Linked DNA regions of Pelodiscus sinensis. The protein of the gene in region 1 interacts with the protein of each later gene in a pairwise test. Links are inferred from orthologs where the notes say so. Each region holds a gene or a part of one and is shown on either strand. Other genes may lie near its edges.

Region 1 (7,647 bases):
AGCTGATTCCAGGAAGCCCCGGGCAGAGCAACTCTGCCTGGGGCTTCCTGTAGTCAGCGCTGGTCAGTTTCAGCAGAAGCTGACTTGGGGACGCCTGGGGCAGAGCAGCTGGGGTGCTGCTGGGTTGCTCCAGTAGCGCCGCTCCTGGGTGCTACTGGACCAACCTAGCAGCACCCCATCTGCTCTGCCCCAGGCGTCCTGATTCAGCCGCTGCTGAAACTGACCAGCAGCGGCTGAATCAGGACCTGGGGCAGAGCAGCTGGGGTGCTGCCGGGTTGGTCCAGTAGTGCCCAGAGCGGGCGCTGCAGGACCAATCGGCAGCGCCCCAGCTGCTCTGCCCCAGAGTCCAAAACAAAAGCCTGGTCTGCTGGGGGGGGGGGGAGCACACTAGCTGCCCCCCCCCCCCAGCAGACCAGAGACACGGGGAGCAGAGCCTCTGAGGCTTTGCTCTGGCAAAGCCTCAGAGGCGAGGGACCCCGCCGCGGCTGCGGCTTCAGTCCGGGAGCCTGTGGTCTGCTGGGGACGGTCCCCAGCAGACCACAGGCTCCCGGACTAAAGCCGCAGCCGTGGGGGGGTCCCGCGCCTCTGAGGCTTTGCCAGAGCAAAGCCTCAGAGGCGCGGGGAACCGCCGCTGCTGCCGCTTCAATCTGGGTGCCTGTGGTCTGCTGGGGACCGTCCCCAGCAGACCACAGGCACCCAGATTGAAGCGGCAGCAGCGGTGGTTCCCCGCGCCTCTGAGGCTTTGCTCTGGCAAGGCCTCAGAAGCGCGGGAACCCGCCCGGTGCCCCTGGTCTGCTGGAGACGGTCTCCAGCAGACCAGGGGCACCGGAGCAGCTTACGAACAGGGCTTTCTCGCCCCGACTTCCGGGGCGAGAAAGCCCCGTTCGTAAGTGCGGATCCGACGTAAGTCGGATCCGCGTAAGTCGGGGACTGCCTGTATTGGATAGGTCCAACATAGGTTTTTTCCCTTTCCTCTGAAGCAGTGGTTTTCAAACTTTTTCTTATGACCCAACTGAAGAAAATTGTTGATGCCTGCAACCCAACATAATTTGACCAGAGTGTAAAAGGGGGCTCCGGCTTGCGGGGGGGAGGGTATCAGAGCTGGAGTAAGAGGGGCTTACCTTAAGCAGCTCCTGACCAGTGATGCAGCAGGGGTGCTAAGGCAGCTTCCTGCCTCTCTTGCCACCACAGACCATGCTGCGCCCCAGAAGCAACCAGCAGCAGGTTCCCAGCCAATGGGAGTGCGGAGCTAGTGCTCAGGTCAGGGGCAGTGCACAGAACATTGTGTGCTCTCCCCCCACCACCTAGGAGCTGGGCCTGCAGCTGGCTGCTTCTGAGGTACAGGTAGCTGCCATAGCACCCTCACTGATCACTTGATCCCCCTGCAGCAACCAGACCCAGTGCCTGACATTCTACGATCCAGTACTGGGTCATGACCCATAGTTTGAAAACCACTGCTCTGAAGCATCAAGGGGGGATTACTGTCAGAGGTGGGATGATCAGCCAGATGGAACAATGACCTGTTCCTATGTAACAACTTCAGATACCGAAATATAAAGAAGACTAATTCTGTGGTTTACACTGGTCTCTAATTGAGAATTTATCAAATAGCATACAAAATATGGGGCAAATTCTGGCCTCACCCAATAAACAAACAACAACAACAACAAAACAATACCTTTCATGTAGACAAGGCCTAAGGGCTAGGCCACACTGGAAAGTTATACCATTAAAAGCTAAGGTGATAATTAAAACTAAAAAATTTATTCCAGTACAAATCCCTGTATGGACACTTATCTCAGTGCAAGGATATGTCTACACTACACCAGCACACCTGTGCTTTAGTAGTGTAGATAATCCTACATGAATAGATGCTTTTTCCTGTTGGTGTAGTTAATGCCTCTCTCTAGGAGGTGGGAACTACATTGATGAAGAATTCAAGCTGCATCTACAGTGACCTGCCCACATTGCATTGGGCATGACATTTTTCACTGTCCTGAGCTAGGTAGCTAGACTGATTGAATTTTTAAGAGTAGAAGGCCTACTGGTACTTTGTTTTCAATTTAGCTTATGTTACTTCGGAAAGGCTTTCAGATAAACCAGAAAAAGCTACTCTTAAACTGGAATAAGAGTGTCCACACAAGGAGTTGTGCTGGTATAATTATACTGATTTAATTGTATTGGTAAAATTATACCAGTATAACCGGTAAAACTGTCCTGTGTCAGTTTTGAGGACTGTACTTGATTTGGTGACTCTGTCTCTCTTCTGATTGGTTTTGTGAGAAACAATCCCATTCCAGGCACGTGCCATTTTCCTGGCGCAACCAAATCCTTACATTGTTTTAAGTTATGATAAGAGGAAGCTGGTATATTGAATTTGGTGGTTCTAGCTCAGGTGTGGACAAGATATGGCCCATGCACCAGATCAAGCCTGCAGCCTACCCTACCGGGACCTTCAGGCACGTTCCCTGCTTGTCACAGACCCAAGCTCAAAGTCACTAGCTGTTCCCTACATGTGCCTCTCTGCACTACGCAACTGGGGGAGGAGAGGAGGAGGAAGACTTTGCATGCTGCCTTCCCAGCCCAATCATAGCAGCTCCTAGAATCAGCATCTGGCACCCCACCCCTTCCGGCACCCCATCCCTTCCCGCACCCAGGGCCAGCCAGAGCCATTTTGGCGCCCTGGGCCCGGGCGCGCGGCACTGCCCCCAGGAGCATGGCGTATGTGCAGGCCCGCCCCCGGGGCGTACGGCTGCATGCACGCAGCCCGGCGTCTGCCCCTGGGGCGCATGCGCTGCCCAGCCCGGCCCAGCCACTGCTGCTGGCACGCAGCCCAGGGCGGGCCGCGCCTGGCCATGCAGGGCCCCACAGCTGTGGGGGAAAGGGTGCTACTGGCTGGCGCCAGGGGGATGGGGGGCTGGTGCGCTGTGGGACGCCGCGTGCCCCTTACAGCTGCCATCAGGCGCCCCCATCAGTTGGCACCCCGGGCAGCTGCCTGGCTTGCTCACCCCCTAGTCCGGCCCCGCCTACACCCTCACTCCCTGCCCCAGGTCACTGCAAAAACCCTCTGCACTCCCATTCCCCAGGTCACAGCTCCCCCTCCAACCCTGCACTCTCTCTTGCACACCAATCTCCCCCTCCAACCCTCTGCACTCCCATTCCCCAGGTCACCACCCAAATCCTCAGCACCTACTTTCCCCGTTTCAGGTCACAACTCCCTCCCAGACCCTCTGTCTCTTCCTAACCCCTCCCTCTCCAAGCCAGAATCCTCTCCTGCACTCATGCTCTCTCCAACACTGAATCCCAACCCCCTACCCCAGGTCACAACCCCCTCCTTCACCCAAACTTTCTCTCAGATCCCACACCCTCTCCTGCACCCTAATACCCTACCCCATGCTCCCTTCTGCACTCAGTCTCCATCCCAGACCCCACTCCCTTCATTGAAATGCAGCCCATGGCCACTTACCAAAATCTTGGAGTGCTCCCCCTCAGAAAGTATTGCCTACTCCTGTCCTAGCTCTTGGGCTGCGTCTAGATCGGCATGATTTTCAGAAATGCTTTTAACGGAAAAGTTTTCCGTTAAAGGCATTTTCGGAACAGAGCATCTAGATTGGCACGGACGCTTTTCCGCAAAAGCACTTTTTGCGGAAAAGCATCCATGCCAATCTAGATGCACTTTTCCGCAAAAAAGCCCCGAAAACAAATCTGAGCTGTCTACACTGGCCCTTTTGCGCAAAAGCTTTGCGCAAAAGGACTTTTGCCTGAACGGGAGCAGCATAGTATTTCCACAAGAAGCACTGATTTCAGACAGTAGGAAGTCAGTGCTTTTGCGGAAATTCAAGCGGCCAGTGTAGACAGCTGGCAAATTTTTCTGGAAAAGCGGCTGATTTTCCGGAAAAGCTGGCCAGTCTAGACACAGCCCTCCTGTTTAGGAGGAGATCTTGAAACCACCTCTCTAAAATATAGAGTAGATTAAGTTGAGAATTTGCCCTCACCTGCAGCGCTGGCTGCGTTCACTTTGTCTCCACAAGGATGTAGCAGATAGGGGGAGATTTGCAAGCCAGGCAGTGAAAAGGATTAGAGCCCCAGAAAGCTCATGTGAGAAGAGAGAGCGGCCAGCTTGTGGCTGCATAGCGCTGCCAGCAGGCATGCCAACACTCCACATGCCAGTGAATAAGCGGGCACGCACTGGGGGCGCCTGTTTCTCATACCTAGAGCCCGACGTGCAGCAGACAAGCCAGGAGGTGAAAAGGCGTCGCGTTTAATGCTCCCCTCACCACCGGGCAGCTAAGGCAGGCGCGGATCCGCTCGAGTGAGCGGGGGCAGGGAGCACCAAGCACAGCAGGGCGCGCGTGCCCGGGCTGGGGACGCAAGAGCCCCTCCCCTTCCCACCCGCTCTCCTTCTCCGGGCAGGCAGGCTCCAAGTACCCACCACCCCGCGCGTGGCCCCGCCCTCCCTGATTCCCGAAGGTTGCCGAGGCTCCGCCCCTCCCTCATTCCCGAAGGTTGCCGAGGCCCCGCCCCTCCCTCATTCCCGAAGGTTGCCGAGCGGGGTCGCGCTGCCTCGGCTCCCTAGCTGGCGTGTCCGGAGATAGCCGAGGAGCTCCGGCCCCTCCCCCCCCCCCGTCCCCGGCTGCCGCCGCCACCGCCTCCTCCCCTGTGGCCGGCCCGAGTCAGTGCCCAGTAGGTTGGTGGAGCGGCCGCTGCGGGACGGACTCTGCTGCTCCCGCGACGCGCTCTCTCGTCCCGCCGGCCCCGGGCCCGCAGCGCCACCGGGCGATCGCGCCAGGCGGGGACCCTCTCGCCCGTGTGCGGCTGCGGCGGCGGCTCCCCCAGGGGACGCGGGGCGGCCGGGGGGTCGGGCTCGGATGGCGGAGGGGACCCAGCCCCAGCAGCAGCAGCAGCAGCAACAGCTCGTCCCCGGCGGCGAAGCCCCCCGGGGCGTGAAGCGGGAGCCGGAGCAGGAGCAGCCCATGCCCGGAGGGGACGGCGCCGAGGCTGGCCACAGCAAGCGGCTGAGGACGGAGGCGGAGGCGGGCGGCGGCGGCGGCATGCAGGTAGCGGGGCCCCGGGCCCAGCGGGCAGGCTGCGCTGGGGGGCCGCGACCGGGGGGCGGTGTAGGCTGGGGGGCGCCCCCCCCCGCGCTGCCTGCGGACACGTAGCCGGGATGTGGGGCGCCGAGACCCTCGCTTCGAGGAGCGGTGGGGTCCGCGGGGCGGGGGGGAGCAGGGGCGCCGGGCCGCGGGGAGCGGCGCGAAAAGGGGAAAGCGGCTGGCCAGGTAGCGACCCAGCGGGAGGGTTGAGAGCAGCTCTGGAGCAGCGGGGCGCTGGCCTACAGGGATGGGGCAGTCTCCTGCGGCCGTAGGCTGAGATCGGAGCGGGATGTGGGATTTATTTGGGGGGGGGGTCAATTCCCCACCCGCAGCTTGGTGGTCCCATTGGTAGCAGAAATGAAGCCCGTGTTCCGAGAGGGGTTTTCGTCCTTCCTTGTCCCAGCGCCGAGCAAATCCACGAAGTTACTGTTTCTAAGGGGAAGACCGTGCTAATTCTGGAGAATGACCCTGAGGATTTCAGCTGTTTGATCAAAAGGACCGTTTTTAAGCTGTTGTATTTGCCAGTACTTTCTTAAATCACGTGGCTTATTTTTTTTTAATTAAAATTCCTTTAAAAACAAATTCTGCAATTTTTTCACTTGGTTGTGTCCCGCCACCCAGTTGACAATTGTAAGGGTCTCCTCAGTAATGGAGAAACTGATGGGGCAATACAAGAGGTATTATGAAACTGACCACATACAAAGTGATTTTAAATGCTCAGTGTAAAACTGAAGTAAAAATAGGTGTTTTTTGCTAATTGATTTAATAGTAATCTGAGGTATTATAATTAGTGAAGGTATACAGTATTCAGACTGTCTTTTACTGTTCTGTTCGCCAATTTATTAAAAAAGCACAATCTTGAAAATAGATCATTCTGCCCCATATTTTGTTTTTTTAAGCACTGACTTTTCCTGTTAAAGGTGTAGTAATGCCTAAAATGACAAAGAATGTTGTAGCATTGTTGGTGTTCAGCATGGGGACTGCCCTTCTTTAACATATTTTCTTTTCCCAGATTACTATGTCTGTTGCACTGACTGGATGCCTATTTCTCTCTTGGGTACCCCAGATTGGTGACAGCTGCTTATTGTGCATTTCCTTTACTGCTTTTTCTTGTTATTTCTTCAGTATTATTCCCCCATTCATTAAAAATGGGAAAAAGCAGAACTCCTATTTTCTATAGTTTACAGCGTGGTAAGAAGCATCATGTGGTTGAAGTATTAAGAGTATGGAGCCAGAGGTGTCTTGGATATCATGAGTGAACAAGGAGGATCTGGTCTGTAACCTTAGAATCTGCTCTCCTATAGATACAGATGGGCATCAGTTTATGAATTCATATGGGCACATGTCATATCAATATACTCTTTTAATTTACTGAGAGTACATTTCTTCTCTTGGCAGTTTTGATCCTATTTGTTTTTCACTGGGCCTTTCATTCCCCCATGGCTGAATATCTCCCTCTGATTGTAGCTTCTGTGTACAGTATCAGAGTCTGTGTAATGGCAGTGCTGCCTTGGGAGATGCTATGGATGGGAGTGGCAAAGGCAAATGGTTCGGCCATCGTGCATATGTTTTACAGATTAATGACACTTAGTCGGATCATGCTCTTGTATGCTTGTAAATAACAACTAGTTTGGAGGTGCAACTGTTAAACGAAAGAGAGGGTATTATGGAGTGTATTTATTTTTCTCTCTGGCTGTATTTTACACAGGGCTCGTCTACACTGGCCCCTTTTCCGGAAGGGGCATGTTAATTTCAGCGATCGCAGTAGGGAAATCCGCGGGGGATTTAAATATCCCCCGCGGCATTTAAATAAAAATGTCCGCCGCTTTTTTCCGGCTTTTAGAAAAGCCGGAAAAGAGCGTCTACACTGGCCCCGATCCTCCGGAAAAAGCGCCCTTTTCCTGAGGCTCTTATTCCTACTTCAAAGTAGGAATAAGATCCTCCGGAAAAGGGCGCTTTTTCCGGAGGATCGGGGCCAGTGTAGACGCTATTTTCCGGCTTTTCTAAAAGCCGGAAAAAAGCGGCGGACATTTTTATTTAAATGCCGCGGGGGATATTTAAATCCCCCGCGGATTTCCCTACTGCGATCGCTGAAATTAACATGCCCCTTCCGGAAAAGGGGCCAGTGTAGACGTAGCCACAGTGTTTTTCTGCTAGAGGTAAGCAGTTGGTCTCAGTGCTTCTTTCTGCTGTTTCTTGCACTGAATGTGCTGGAGCTCTTTGAAAACAATGAGATTAATTCATCGTGTGGTTTCTACTTTCACTCCTGCTTGGGTTTGTGGTTCTTAATAGTCTCTGAAGGGAGGGACATTTGTGTCCCATGGAAGTGTTTCCCCCACTATGTTGCATTAGTCTGGCGCTCTCCTGTGTGTGGCCCTTCCTGGTTGTTTTCTCTGCCACATCCCTCCCACTTCCCATGTTCCACCACACATCCCTCTTTCTCACCCCATTATATCAAAAGAAAGTCATATAGCACTTCAAAGACTAACAAGATGGTTTATTAGGTGATGAGCTTTCGTGGGGCAAACCCACCTCTTCAGATCATATCAATTGA
Region 2 (7,122 bases), on another chromosome or scaffold:
TGCCAGCAGATCTAGAGAAGTGATTATTCCCCTTTATTCAGCACTGGTGAAGCCACATCTGGAGTATTGCGTCTAGTATAGATAGGCCCCCCCAATATAGAAAGGATGTGGACGCATTGGAGAGGGTCCAGTGGGGGGTGACCAAAATGATTAGGGGGCTGGAGCATATGACCCATGAAGAGAGGCTGAGGGCTTATTTAGTCTGCAGAAGAGAAGAGTGAAGAGGGATTTGATAGCAGCCTTCAGCTACCTGAAAGGAGGTTCCAAAGAGAACGGAAAGAGGCTGTTCTCAGTAGTGACGGATGACAGAACAAGGAGCAATGGTCTCACGTTGCAGTGGGGGAGGTCTAGGTTGGATATTAGGAAAACCTATTTCCCTATTAGGGTGGGGAAGCACTGGAATGGGTTCCCTAGGGAGGGGGTGGAATCTCCATCCTTAGAGGTTTTTAAGACCCGGCTTGTCAAAGCCCTGGCTGGGATGATTGAGTTGGGGTTGGTCCTGCTTTGGGCAGGAGAAGGGGCTGGACTCGACCTCCTGAGGTCTCTTCCAACCCTGGGATTCTATGATTCTAATAAGGAACCAAATTTTGAAGGCAGCCTTGAAATATAGGGCAAAATCTCTCAGCAAAGGAACTAGACATATGAAAGGAAAACTCCATGAAATGTGACAGAGTTTATTCTCCATTGTCTTACACCTTGCTGGGGTCATTTTGTTTAGGCAATGTGGGTGTCAATCACTGTCCAGCCAAAATGCCAGCATTTTAAAATCACTTAGAATCATAGAGCTGGAAGAGGCCTAAGGAGGTCACCAAGTTGGCACAGGTGGAAATAACACAAGGCAATGAAGATTTAGACCTGTGATTTTATTATTTACTGTTAACTTTTATTTAAAACAAAAAAATAATATGCATCTACCTGTGTTACTAAAACTTTATATTGTAAAAAAGTAGGTTTAAAACAAAAACACATCAGCATGGTTGGTTTGCATCTCACCTCACTTGCACTGCTGTCAACTGAGATGAATCAAGCCCCGATCATGGTGTTTTTCTCTCACACCAGCGTTAATGAGGAATTACTTCACTGAATTCAGTGGCATTACCCACTATAAAACTAGTCTAAGAATTTTTACTTTTTTTTCCATTTATGCCATTTGTGTATTTTTCTATACATTAAAAACAGACTGGTCAGTTTCCCTTTCATTTTTAGTCTGTTTCAAACTTTGCAGCTGCCAGGAATAACAATGTGTGCTTAAATTAAGAACTCACAGGAGAATTTGCAACCACTTTTTCAAAAAGGGACTAATGAAAAAGAAACTTTACTGACTGGGATTTGTGATGGGAATTGTCAAACAAGTCAGAAAGTTAGGCACTCAACTCCCACTGAATAATGAGAGTTCAGTACCTAACTCCTTTAGGTTTCTTCTCAGTGTTCTATGTTCCTAAAGGGTTTATGTACTTTTCAAAATACTATTATATTTTGTATTGCATTCATTCGTAGGAGCTGAAGATATGGACCAATGTTCCACTGTGCTAAGCACTGGGCAAAAATCTTATCCCTCCTATAAAATGGCCTGATTTTCAAAGATACTGAAAATCTCAGCCCTCATCTAGAGCCATAGCTTTGATCCTGCATAAAATTGGCATTGGTGAATCTTTGTGGCCATGCTGAGCTTACTGCAGACCAAGAGCTTGCAAAAGCTGCAGCTACTCCGCAGGTCTGAAAAACCAGCTACTTTGATTTAGGTTCCTAAATCTTAAGTTAGGAATCTAACTTTAGGCACCCAGATTTTAAAACTTTGGCTCCCTGGATGAGTCTTCAGTTTCAGAAGAAAATGACAATGAAACTACTTTTAACTGCAGAGTTTGAAGCCCAAAGTCAGAGGAAGAACTTGGATGGGAAAATGATCCTCAGCAAAAGAGAAACGTTCATTTCCTCATCCAGGTGGGGAGAAATGTAAAACATACACAAAAGGCCATAATGGGGGACAAGTGAATTGGAGTTTAAAAATCCTTTCACTTTTAATAGACTTTGATCTTAGAATAACTTAGGTTAAAAAAAATGGGGGCTGGTGGTTTGTAGCTGACCATGTGGGGCTCGTTTTTCCTGATTACCAGCAGCTAAATCATGTTAAAATAATCTAAAGATACATTAAATAATACATTCCTAATGTCACTTTTCCATGTAAGCAATTACCATAGCTACTACACAGATACTATGCAATGGAGAACATGGGTCAGAGGTGGGCTAGAACAATCACAAATAGGAGGGGAGGTGACAAGACAATCTATTGATATTCAGCCCAGGCTGTGGAAAAGTTCCCTACATTACAGTACAGTGTCCTGATCTTTCATTCACCCACCACTGGTGTAAACCAGGACTTACATAGTCATAGAACAGCACAAGCAGGTCCCAAAAACAGGTCCCACCCTTGCTCACAATCAAAATGACTTCATGCATGTAAAAAGGGGGATTTTTGTAAAAAATTGAGGGTCTAAAGCTGCCTGCAAGCATCGCTCTCAAAAATAATAAATAGCTTCATATCTCAGCCCTTTGCCTGCTACCTATCCCACAGGAACCATACAGAAATCATTTCTCCTTTAAACCAAAGAACAATTGAGGGGCTTTCTTTTACCCTCTTTAAATATTTATGTGTCTAAATGACAACTCTGAAAAACAATTCTCTTCCCCTCTCCTTCATCTTACCAGATTTGTTTTGTTAAAAGGGGGAAGGAGACAGTGGTCCTGGCTGCTCCTGCTGGTTTTTGCTAGTGATGGTTCTTTCTTAGCCATTTTCCACCCACCTTCCAACATTGGCTTTAACCAAGCAGCACTTTTAAATCACCCTTCCCCTCCCCTTCTTTGCATGTTCCCCACCCACTGGTGATGACGTAGCGTCTGCTGAGCTCCACCCTTCCTCAACTAGAAGGGCTTAACACTCCCCTAAGCTTAGCCAGCCTGCCCTTATTTAATTTAGAGTGTGATTTTGCTATTTTTAGTAGCTGGATAGTCCCTCCTGTAAGGCTTGGAGGTTTTTTTTGTTTTTGGTCCCCTTCCTATTTCCCCCTCCCCCCCTCCCCCGTGCAAATGATTTTGACCCAGCTTCCTTCCTCTTGGAACAATTTTTTTTATTTATATAAATAAGAGAGCCCTGGCTGGTCTGTATATGTATGTGAGTGAGTCCCTGCCTTCTTGTTTCAGATCCGCATTTGCAATCAGCAGCAACCAGAAGGGGGGTTGGGGTTTAATTTGATCACAACACAGACTCACAAGGAAAAAAAAACACAACACCACACAGAGCCGAGACCGAGAGCAATTGTGAGTGTCTGGCCTTTTTTTTTTTTTTTTTTTTTTTCGTTTTGATTTGGGTGGAGGAGGTGTGGGGGGGGGGAGTTGATGTTTCTTTTCGTTTTTTTTACCATTTTTTAGTCGAATGTGCAGCTTGGGGGGGGGGCTAAAAAATCATTTTCCAATTGCAAAAAAAAAAAAGTAATTCTGAAGCCTGCTTGTTTGTTTTTAAGAATTTGCAGAGGAAAACAAGCCAGGCATGCGGAATCGATGTGCCCTTTTGCTTTGCTTCGCATCGTGCATTGCAGTATGCCAGGTGGGGGGGGGGGGCTTGCACGGGGCTGGAGGGGGGGGCAGAAACTGCAATGCTGCCTCTCCACCCTGCTTTATTTTTATCCTTAAAGCACCTGCTTTGGGAGCGGGGGGCCTTTCCTCAGCAGGTCTCCGAGCTGATGGATGGAAGCCCCTCCGGAGACCACCCCACCTGGGCGCTGGGGTGGAGCAGCAGTGGCTGGGGGGGGGGACACTAGCTTGCAATCGGCTCCGGGCGGCTGGCGGAGTGTGGCCGCTGCAGGGCTCGGGGGAGGGTGGGTGGCTTTGGCTGAGCTCTCGGTGCTCCTGATCCCCCCCCCCCCCTTCCAGCATTTGCGAGCTTTGCAAATACGCACACTCCGAGCCGGTTTCATTTTCAAATCGCGCGACAGCGCTTTCCTGCCCCTTCGCCGTGTCTTGTGCGCTGCGGCTCTGCCAATAGCGGCCGGAGCCGGCGGGCTGCCTTGTGCCTTGTGCAGCGGGCAGGTAGCGCGCTGGGACGCCCCCTCTCCTGCCCCTTTAAAGGGGCCGGGCCCGAGGCCATGTCTCTTTCCAGCCGCGACCAGACGGGGGTAAAGCCGCTGCGGGGGGGCGTGCGCGGGGGGAGGGCTCCATTTGCCCCTCCGGCTTGTTCCCATTGGGGACCAGAGAGGTGGATGCTAAGGTCGGTGTGTGCCCATGGAGATGGGGTGGTTTTTAGGGGGGGGTGCATGGCTCTCCCCCCCCCCCCCCCGGGAGGAGGGGGCTGGCACACTCTGCAGCGCCGGGGTGCTGAGAGCGATCGAGCTGCGCTGCCAATCTTGTGTGTGGTGGGAAGTACCAGCACCTGGGATCTCCCACGCTTGCCTCCCAGCTGGGGGCCAGGCCGGGTTTCCTGGGGGCTCCAGATAGCCCCCCAGGAAGAGCTCCGCTTCCGCCCCCTCTGGAGGCTGGGGCTGGCCTCAGTGGCAGTCCAAAAGTGGGGAGGGGGGGAACAGACCGTGGCCTGCCCCCGCTGTAAACTTTACCAGGTTTCTTTCCACTCCCGCTCCTTCCTCTTGAGGAGGGGGCCAGCCCTTTCTCCTGGAATCAAGCCCTTCTCCAAATGGGTGGCTTTTATTCTACCCTCCAGGGCTTCTGGTGGTGTCTCTTCCTGTGACCTCTCTCTCCCTCCCCCTTCTCACTTCCTTTTATTGTGCTCATTTAAAAGGATTGGGCTGCTCTCGTACAGCATTGGAATGTTCCTAAAGTTAATAGGGATGGAGTTGCATGCACATCCTGTCCGGTCCTTCCCCCTCCAGCCCTCCTCTATTCCTCAATCAAACAGGTTTTTATTTATGCTATTCCCTTGCTGCTGGCACCACCCTGCTTTGATGGTGTCCCTGCGCGGCTGCTCTGCCTTCTTGCACACGATGAGACTGAGATGTACGCAGGAGATGGGTCTCCACTGGGTCTCCCTTTTTGTGTGTGTGGTTCATCTGGGAGGTGGTGACTGGGCCTTGGATCGGCAGGGCTGGTTGCTTGGAATGGTGCTGTGAAACTGGGCTAGGGTGTGGAGACACGCCGGAGGCTTGTGCGTCCGAAAGAACAGCCGGAGTATCAGGTCCCTTCCTCAGGTGTCAGCCAGCCAGCTGCGTGTGTCTGCTGTGCTTTCGCTTCCTGCCCGCGGGGTTCAGGGCACAGCAAGACAGCCATGTGACCTGACTAGCTCCTCCTGCACCACTGACTGCTTCTCTTCGTAAGCCAGAGGCCTGGTCTACACCTAAAGCTTAGGTCGACCTGTGTCCCTGGGGGGCTGTGAAAAACTTCATGCCCTGAGCACTGTGTGTGGTTAGGTGAACCTAACCCCGGGTGTGGAGGTGGACAATGACAGAAGGACTCATCCCTCCACCTAGCTATTGTGGATTAATTAAGATGATGCCACAAAAATCTTCCATCTACGCCACGGCACTACAGTGGCATGGCTATTGTGTAGACCTGGCCTAGACAGGGAAGAGACCTATGACATCCCTGCACAGATATCCGCAGTTTCCCAGTGCCCCATAATGCTGCACTGAGGTTGCCTATCAGAGCTGCTGCAAAAACTGGAAGGGGTTTAGCCCAGAGAAGCTGCAAATCTATTCATGCAGCTTCCTGGATGCTGGGTAGGACCATCTACAAAAGGATTTGTGTTTCTAGCCTACTTCCTGGCTCTCTTTTCCTGCAGGGTAACACAGCTCTGCCAAAAACCTCGCTACTGGCTCAAAATGGGGAGATGGGACCCTGAATTAGCACAGTGGGGTGAGTCCTGCCCCATGCAGCTGCTGGAGAGGGGTTTCTCTGTGGGGCAGAGGGAAGTATGTTGTGAGTCCAAAGCTCTGCATGGCCAGATTTTCAGAGACAGATGCTCAAAGGATGTATCACCTCTGAGAAGCATCCTGGCTTGGAAGGTACCCAAGTGACCATGAATTTAACTTTTAAAAACAAACCAAAACATTAGGGCTGAGCGAGAGAATCCTTGAATAGCTTTTGGCTGTAGTGAGTAATGCATAGGGGTGTTTACATGAGGCTGCGGCTTCTGAGGTTTACTAACTCGTGAGTCACTTCCACAACTGAACATGAGCCCATATGCACTTTTTTTAAAAAACCTAGAAGGCCTGTGCATTCAGGATGCGTGTGTGGTTTCCTTGGGCTTTGATCCCACTATGCAACTTGTTTAGGAATCTGAACTTCCCATTTTGGGCTGTAGCAGTGAAGCCCTGGCGAGGAAGGCTGCATGGATGTCACGACGGGGTGAATTGTGCTGGTGTGAATTGGAGCAAAACTACCCATTGCTGAGGGTAGCCCTCTGTAAAGGGGACCCTGTGTGGTTGCTACAGCTGAGAGAGTAAATGGAACTGAAGCATCTTCAAAACCATTGTGTCTTGTTAGCGCTGCAAAGGCATTGCTAGAGATTTAATCTCTCTGCACAACCGCTTTCAGTGCTAATTAAATGGGCTCCCTGTTTTCCTGGGGGGTTGCGATCAGGTTCCAGGGGGAGGTTGCAAACCTCCTCTTTCTTTATAGCTAGGAGGAAGGTCCTGAAACACTTCTACTGCTGTAAGTTGATGGAATGGGGTCAGATCAGTTTGGAGAAGGTAGAAAACCACTGCCCAAGTACAATGGTCCAGAAGACACACACATGTGATACTTACAGTATATCTGTGCTGCAATTCCAGGACACGACTGCAGCTTATGTTGATGTACCAGAGCTACTTTTAATCTGCTTTTAGCACGTGGATTTGGCGCCGTGAAGTCGCAGTACCACAGGCTGACCACCTCAAGTAATTGATCTGGGTTCTAGGCAGCCTCATATAGCCCATGCCCCTGCTGCTTGGATTAAAGCTAGCTGAAGTATGTATAGGTGAGCTGCATTAGCACCCTGGGACTCACTGAACTACAGGAGGCCTTGCAGAACTGGGACCAAACCAAGAAACGTTGCACCCAAATCTTTAGGAGAAAAAATTGGGAGCAAATTGTGAAGACCTCTATTAAAAAATGCCAGGGTGGTGGTGCCCATTTGGTCAG
Region 3 (7,029 bases), on another chromosome or scaffold:
AACAAGACAGGGCAACAGCTTTCAACTTTTCTTCATTTACAGTCCCCTAAAAACCCTGGAGATGCAGGCCTCTTTGGAAAGCTTAGACAGTCTGCAGATCCCCAGGTTGAAAACCCCCAAGGAAGGGTGTGAATTTAAAAGCGCAGTACCTATTCCTATGTGAACACTTTTATTCACTTGGGAACATGCAAACACGGAAGTTATTTGGGAACACTTGTTCCCAACTAGTTGCACACACAAACAATTTTAAATCTCCTGGGGAAGGAATGTCTGTTTCATTGTGTATTTGTACAGCACCTAGGAGAAGCCCTGCACACATGGCAGAATTTGATTTTTTTTAAAACAGTTATGATACTAATATTGATCCCCCCCGACACACACACAATTTATCCATTTAAATTTCCACAGTTGCAGGAAATTATCAGAAGTCGGACATTTATTTACCAACAGTAGATGCTGAGATTCAAAAAGTTATAAGTTTATAACAGTTAAAACACAACCTGTTAACATCACATTTCAAAATATGCAAAGTAAACGACCTTAAATCAAATAAGTTGTCAAGCTAATTTTGCTTACTTTGAATGTAAATTTTGACTATCATGCATGGAAAAATCTTTTCAGCATTTGCAAGTAAAATTGACATCTCAAAAAAAATCAATTCCTTCCCAGCCTAGTAATGAATAGGGCTGTAGGAGCTACTGCAACACAAATAAGGGAATGTCACAATGGAGAAAGGTGTTTTGCATTTCATGACATTTCCGCCACAATTTACTCCACCACTAACAAAGCAACCTACAAGCACAGCCCGCAAAAAGCCAATGTGGGAGAAAGACACATGCACAGCCTGTCCCCCGAGGTCAATGAGAGACGCCATTACGTTGATTTACTAACCTGGAGGAAAAGATACTTTGGGTGGGCATATGTACATATAATAAGCAGGAGGAGGGGATCACTCATTCCCTAGTGAGGGGTGTCACCACTTACCCCTGAGCAGGCAAGATGGACATGCAGCAGTGGCGGCAGGGTATAGATGGGGGACGGGGAGAGTGGAGTCACAGAGAGCCCAAGTCATGGCTGTGGCCAGCATGTGCCCAGGGAATCTGTTTTTTAATCTCTTGGCTGCCACCAACTACATTCTCTCATTGCATTTCTGCGCAACAAACAGCAGCTGCACCCAGCACCACCCCTGTGCTGCTCATGGCCTTTGGTGAGGGACAAGTCAGTGCCTTACCTGCTGGTAGGTGTTGGTGGCAATAATGGGCCGGATCACTGGGACTGGGGGCACCGCGGGCACAGCTGGCACTGCCAGAGCTACTGGAACAGCCTCAACCACTGGAGCCCCAGGAGGGAGGGAAACAGGGGCCCCCAGCACCTCCTGCTCAAACCTGTACAGTGTGAGAAATGGAAGCGTGTTGAAGTTTCCCCACCATCATCTCAGGGCCCCGAGACCCCACGTCTCCCTCCTGATGCAAGGTCCATTCCTTCTTCAATTCAGGATCTTTTACTGCTTTGCCCTGGTATCTGCCCACCTCCAGCCCTCTTCCACCCAGCTCTCCATTCCCTCCCGGAAAAGGCTCCCCATCACCCTTCCAAACACCCCCAAGGACTCCTATGGCTCCTATACTAGGCCTGGGCAAAATTCAGCCAATGAGGAGCTCCAGGCAGGCTCCCCTGCTTGCCCCTGCATGCCACTCAGAAAAATGGCTGCTGAGTCCTGTTTTTTTTTAAAAACTGGAGGGGATGGAGGAAAGCTTCAGGAGCTATTTGAATAACAGGCAGCCAAGAAGAACCCCCTCCCCCCACCCTTCTTGGCTCAGTTAGCCACAAAAGCACATGGCTGGGCAGGCAGGCAGGTTTGGCTGCTGGCTGGTAAGTCTCCTGGCCAGAACCTGCCTCTGGCACTCCAGCTCCCATCTTCCCCAATCCTCTGCCCCACCCAGTCAACATACCCAAATCCTCTGCCTCCCTTTTGCATCCATACCCCCTCCCAGATCTGGCACCTCAGTCTCCTGACCCAGATCACAATCCCGTCCTAACATAGGTCACTTCCCAAACTCTAGTCCCCTGACCTAGGTCACAATGACTGCCTTTACCCAATCTCCCTCCCAGCCTCCATTCTCCCTTCTGCACCCCAATCCCTGCTCCACCCAGCCTCCATCCCAGCCCCTGCACCTCCTCCATTAATATCATGGAAGAGTACAGCCCATGACCACTTTCCAAAATCTTGGAGTGCCCCCCCTCCCCATACAAAATATTGCCTACCCCATCCTACACTCTTGCACCCACTGAAAGATTTCCATCCTTTTGACCTTCAGTCTCCCTCCAGAACACTCCACTGCTCAAATATCTACTGACCTATAACACCACAGTCCCTTTCTCCTTCTCCCTCCAGAATTCTCTGTTCTGGGCTATGCACCAGCTTTAATTCCTCATCTGAACCGGCCCATTCCCATCAGCTCCTCCACAACCTTTTCATCCTCCTTCCACCTGCTCCACGTCACTCCCCCCCCCCCAGGGGTCTCAGTCTTTTGCCCTAGCTTGGTTGAGCCACCCCCTAGGTCTCCCCTTGCGTCTCTCCCCACCCATGGGCTCCCTCCTCCCTTTTAGCCGGGGATCTCCACGGATCCTCCCGTCCATGCTCCAGCTCCCCCCTCTCCCCCCACCTGCTCTTGATCCCTCCCAGCCCCTGGAGCCTGCAGGCTCCTCTTTTCCTGAAACCAGGGACCAGATCCCCGCCCTCAGACTCCCCCTAAACTCCCCCCCCCCCCCCGCGCTCACAGCGCCATCTCCGCCTCCATCTCTTTCAGTCGCTCCTCCCCGCTCTTGGCGCCCCCCGCAGCCGCGGCTCCCCCGGCGGGGCCGGGTGCCGGGGCGGGTGCCGGGGCCGGAGCCCCCCCGGCGGGGGGCGGGGCAGGCGGAGCCGCCATGGCGGGGTCTGGACTCAGCCTCCGCCGCTCCGCGCTGCGGCCCGACGCACCCGCTTCCGGCGGGCCGGTGATGACGTAAGGAGGCTTCCGGCGCGGAGCCGGAAGTTAAACACCACTGTGGAAGTTGTCTCTCATCATTTCCGGCGCGATCTTATGGCGTAACAGAAGGGCGGGGCGCACGGGAAACCTTCCTAGCGGGAAGGGGGCGTGGCTTGCATGTCTCACGTGGGACGGGGCCGAGAAGGCAGGGCTCCCATTGGCCTTTGCCCGGGGCACGTGATTCTAATTCATTTTCCGTCTCCTACGCCGAGTAGAGCGGCGAGTCCCGCAGGACCCCGCCCCTGCTCTGGCCCCGCCCCAAACACTGGCCCCGCCTCTCCCTCCCCATTGCCCAGCCCTCCCACTGCGCCCAAATTGGCCCCGCCCGCCCACGTGGCCCCTCCCCTCCCAGGCTCCGCCCCTGTTGGAGTCTCCCAGGCCAGTGTCGGGAAACACGTGGGCTGTGTCTAGACTGGCAAGTTTTTCCGGAAAATCAGCCGCTTTTCCAGAAAAACTTGCCAGCTGCCTACACTGGCCCTTGGATTTCCGGAAAAGCACTGACGATCTCATGTAAGATTGTCAGTGATCTTATGGAAATACTGTGCTGCTCCCGCTCGGGCAAAAGTCTTTTTCCGAAAGACTTTTGCGCAAAAGGGCCAGTGTAGACAGCACAGTACTGTTTTCCGCAAAAAAGCCCTGATGGCGAAAATGGCGATCGGAGCTTTTTTGCGGAAAAGCGCGTCTAGATTGGCCACAGACGCTTTTCCACAAAAAGTGCTTTTGCGGAAAATCACCCTGCCAATCTAGACGCACTTTTCCGAAAATGCTTTTAACTGAAAACTTTTCCGTTAAAAGCATTTTTGGAAATTCATGCCAGTCTAGACGTAGCCGTGGAGCGGTGGGAGACGGTCCAGAGGAGCAACAGACTGATGCGCAGTCTGGAGAACAGGAGCTAGGAGGCGGGGCTGGAAGAATCCAGAGTGTTTAGTTTGGAAAAGAGACGGCGGAGAGGGGGCGAGAGCGGTGTCCAAGTTTCAGAAAGGGCGTTACAAGGAGAAGAGAGAAATCTTGTTCTCCTTGGCCTCTGAGATCAAGAAGCAATGGGCTTGAATTGCAGCAAAGGAGGTTTAGGTTGCACATCAGGAAAAACTCCCTGGCTGTCAGAGTGGTGAAACACTGGAATAAATTGCTTAGGGTGGTTGTCCAATCTCCATCACTGGAGATATTTAAGAGCAAGTTAGAGAGACACCGGTCAGGGATGATCTGCATCAGTGGTCTCCAACCTTTTTAAACACAAAATCACTTTTTCAATTTAAGTGCAATGTAAGATCTACCTCAAACACAAATACCCTTGCCCACTTCCTTGCCCACCTCTCTGAGGCCTCACCCTCCCTCCGCCCTCGCTCCCTCCACCTTCCTCCTGGAATCTCAATCACTTTCACCAGGTTGGAGTGGGGGGTTGGGGTGCAGACTTTGGTCTTGGGCCACAGGGTTTGGCATGGGGGAGGGGACACCCTGAAAGTAGGGAACTGGGGAAGTTCTGAAGTGGTTTAGGGGCTAGGGCATTTGCCTGGGGAGAGCAGGGTGGTGGATTGAAGTCCCACTTTTGCCCACTCTGGGGGCAGCTGGACAGCAAACAAAGGATGCTAGAGACATAGACCTGGCTCCTGCATTTAGAAACCAGGATAAGGGACCCAAAGAAGGAAGGGTGTTAAGGTGGATTCTGGAGTGGCATAGCAATGTGTGCATTCACCTAGAGTGGTGAATTCAAGTACCACCTACCTACCTGAGGAACTGTTAACACAGATTGCCCCAGTGATGGAGCTGGCACCTGCAGTCCAAATGCAGGATTAGGGACCTGCAAAAGGTAGGGAGGTGGGATAGGTTCTGGTGTGGATTAGGAGATAAGGCATGAGCAGAGTGGTTGCACCCAAGCAGGATGAAGGACCAGCAGAAAGCTCAGAGCAGGAGGGGTGGTTTCTAGAGTGGTCTAGGAGATAGGGCATTCACTTGGGGACAGCGGGGTGGCATCCATAGTTAGAAAGCAGGATGAGATAACCCTAGTAGTTACCTCTCTCCACTCAGAAAACTGACCATTTATTCCTACCCTTTGTTTCCTGTCTTTTAACCAGTTATCAGTCCATGAAAGGACCTTCCCTCTTACGCCATGATAACTTACTTTACTTAAGAGTCTTTGGTGAGGGACTTTGTCAAAGGCTTTCTGGAAATCTAAGTACACTATATCCACTGGATCCAATCTTGTCCACATGTTTGTTGCCCCTCTCAAAGAACTCTAGCAGATTAGTAAGGCATGATTTCCTTTTACAGAAACCATGTTGACTTTCCCCTAACAAATTATATTCATCTTCACTATAGTTTCATCTAATTTGCCTGGTACTGATGTTAGACTTACTCATCTGTAATTGCCAGACGATTCCACCACCTTGTGTCCCCAGGCGAACGCCATATCTCCTAGGCCTCTCCAGAACCCACCCCACCTCTTTACTGGGGCAGTGGTGAGCTGCATACGGGCTGTGGCCTGAGGGCTGCATATGGCCCATTGGGGTTCTAGGTGTGGCCTGCGAGACATTTTGTTTCCCCTTGCCCATGGCCAGAGTTGCCAGATTCCGCTGCTTTCCGCCCACACAAGTGTTTTTGTTACTAAAGTGACGCTCACCTAAACGGCCCGTGGTGCGAGGGGCGCACGGATTGCACCAGCACTGACGGGGGGGGGGGGGGGGGGGAGCCGTGCGCTCGCTCTGCAGCCAGTCCACACGCTGTGACTGCTCCGTCAGCTCACCCGCTAATCCAAGGTGCGCAAGCGCGGACAGCAACTCTACCCTACCCAGGGAGACCGCCTGGGCTCCCACAGTCTTGCAGCTACTGAGCTGAAGGAGGCTGCTAACATGGCCCACTCACTAGCCGAGGTTGCCCATCGCTGGGGCAGTGCTGACTTTGAGGGCCTCAGGCAGATGGGCCGAGGGGCTCAATTTCTGTGAAGGGCTAACAGTGCCAGGAAACAGGCTAGTAGGACCCAAGAGGCTGGCTCCCTTCATTGCAGTCCAGGGGGTGGCTGTGAGCCAGCGGCACAGGGGAGGGGGAAGGAAAGGGGGCACTGAGCTGACATCGGTGGCAACTCCCGTACTAACTGGCACTTTGCAATTTTTTTCTTATAGAAATCTGCCCTGCATATCACTGCGTCTCACCTGAGGGCGCTCGTGTGTTTGTCCCAATTGACTACCCAAGAGCATGTGGAGTCTCCGTCAGCAGGCAAACTGTGCACTCACTCCGTGATATCATGGTGCTAAGGGACGGAAAGGCAAACTGCCTCAATAATACCTACAAAGGCTCCATGTCCCTCTCCCCGGGCGGCTTTGCTGCGAACATGAGTAAATGGCTAGAAGGAGAATGTCGGATTCTAACCAGCCTGGACAGAGACTTCGTGGCTTGTGTGACTCTGGTGATGGCAGGTTAGTTTCTGCTCTTGTGTCCTGGGATCATCTTTCCTCGCTCCTCTGCTAGGTTGTTTTGCACGTCTGCACCTCCCTTGGCATTGAACCAGCCGTGTAGAACGTTCCTTGTCATTTAACAAAACCTGGGATTGTAAGGACCGTGCCACTCGTGTGTTTGGGGTCAGATACTTTTCTGAGGTTCAAATGGCTGTAGGTCTAGTGTTCACCTGCACTTTGAAACACCATCCCCACTTCTCTAACTTTGTATTCCAAGAGCATCGCACCATGAGAAAATAAAGAAGAGGATCAGGGCTTGTCTACACTTAGGCCACACTCCACTAGCCGCACCTGAGATTGATCTTCTGGCGGTTGATTTAGCGGGTCTAGGAAAGACCTGCTAAATCAAACGCTGAGGGCGCCCCTGGTCATGGATGCTGGTACTCCTGGCAGTCAGGAGGGAGCCTTTGCTCTCATCAACCTCCCACTGTGAAGATGGTGCCAAGCTCAGCTTAAGGTATGTCGACTCCAGCTACGTTATTTACATCTCTGGAGCTGCGTCCCTTCAGCCGGACTTCCAGGGCTGGGGCAGAGCTGGCTGTAAGGGGTGTCTC

The links.
Region 2: the proteins of RBFOX2 (region 1) and HMGA1 interact in a two-hybrid assay, tested with the Homo sapiens proteins (2 studies listed by BioGRID and IntAct, with this or other methods). The link is inferred for Pelodiscus sinensis from reciprocal best matches to the Homo sapiens genes RBFOX2 and HMGA1.
Region 3: the proteins of RBFOX2 (region 1) and RBM42 interact in a two-hybrid assay, tested with the Homo sapiens proteins (2 studies listed by BioGRID and IntAct). The link is inferred for Pelodiscus sinensis from reciprocal best matches to the Homo sapiens genes RBFOX2 and RBM42.

The regions. Positions count from the first base shown.
Region 1 is NC_134711.1:93,540,675-93,548,321, forward strand, and holds the start of RBFOX2 (RNA binding protein fox-1 homolog 2), read left to right. Parts: upstream 1-4,629; 5' UTR 4,630-4,868; coding exon 4,869-5,057; intron 5,058-7,647. UniProt on the Homo sapiens protein: RNA-binding protein that regulates alternative splicing events by binding to 5'-UGCAUGU-3' elements. Prevents binding of U2AF2 to the 3'-splice site.
Region 2 is NC_134737.1:11,423,606-11,430,727, forward strand, and holds the start of HMGA1 (high mobility group protein HMG-I/HMG-Y), read left to right. Parts: upstream 1-4,120; 5' UTR 4,121-4,139; coding exon 4,140-4,261; intron 4,262-5,782; exon of another isoform or gene 5,783-5,856; intron 5,857-7,122. UniProt on the Homo sapiens protein: HMG-I/Y bind preferentially to the minor groove of A+T rich regions in double-stranded DNA. It is suggested that these proteins could function in nucleosome phasing and in the 3'-end processing of mRNA transcripts.
Region 3 is NC_134734.1:4,920,418-4,927,446, reverse strand, and holds the start of RBM42 (RNA-binding protein 42), read right to left. Parts: upstream 3,003-7,029; 5' UTR 2,928-3,002; coding exon 2,779-2,927; intron 1,386-2,778; coding exon 1,232-1,385; intron 1-1,231. UniProt on the Homo sapiens protein: Binds (via the RRM domain) to the 3'-untranslated region (UTR) of CDKN1A mRNA.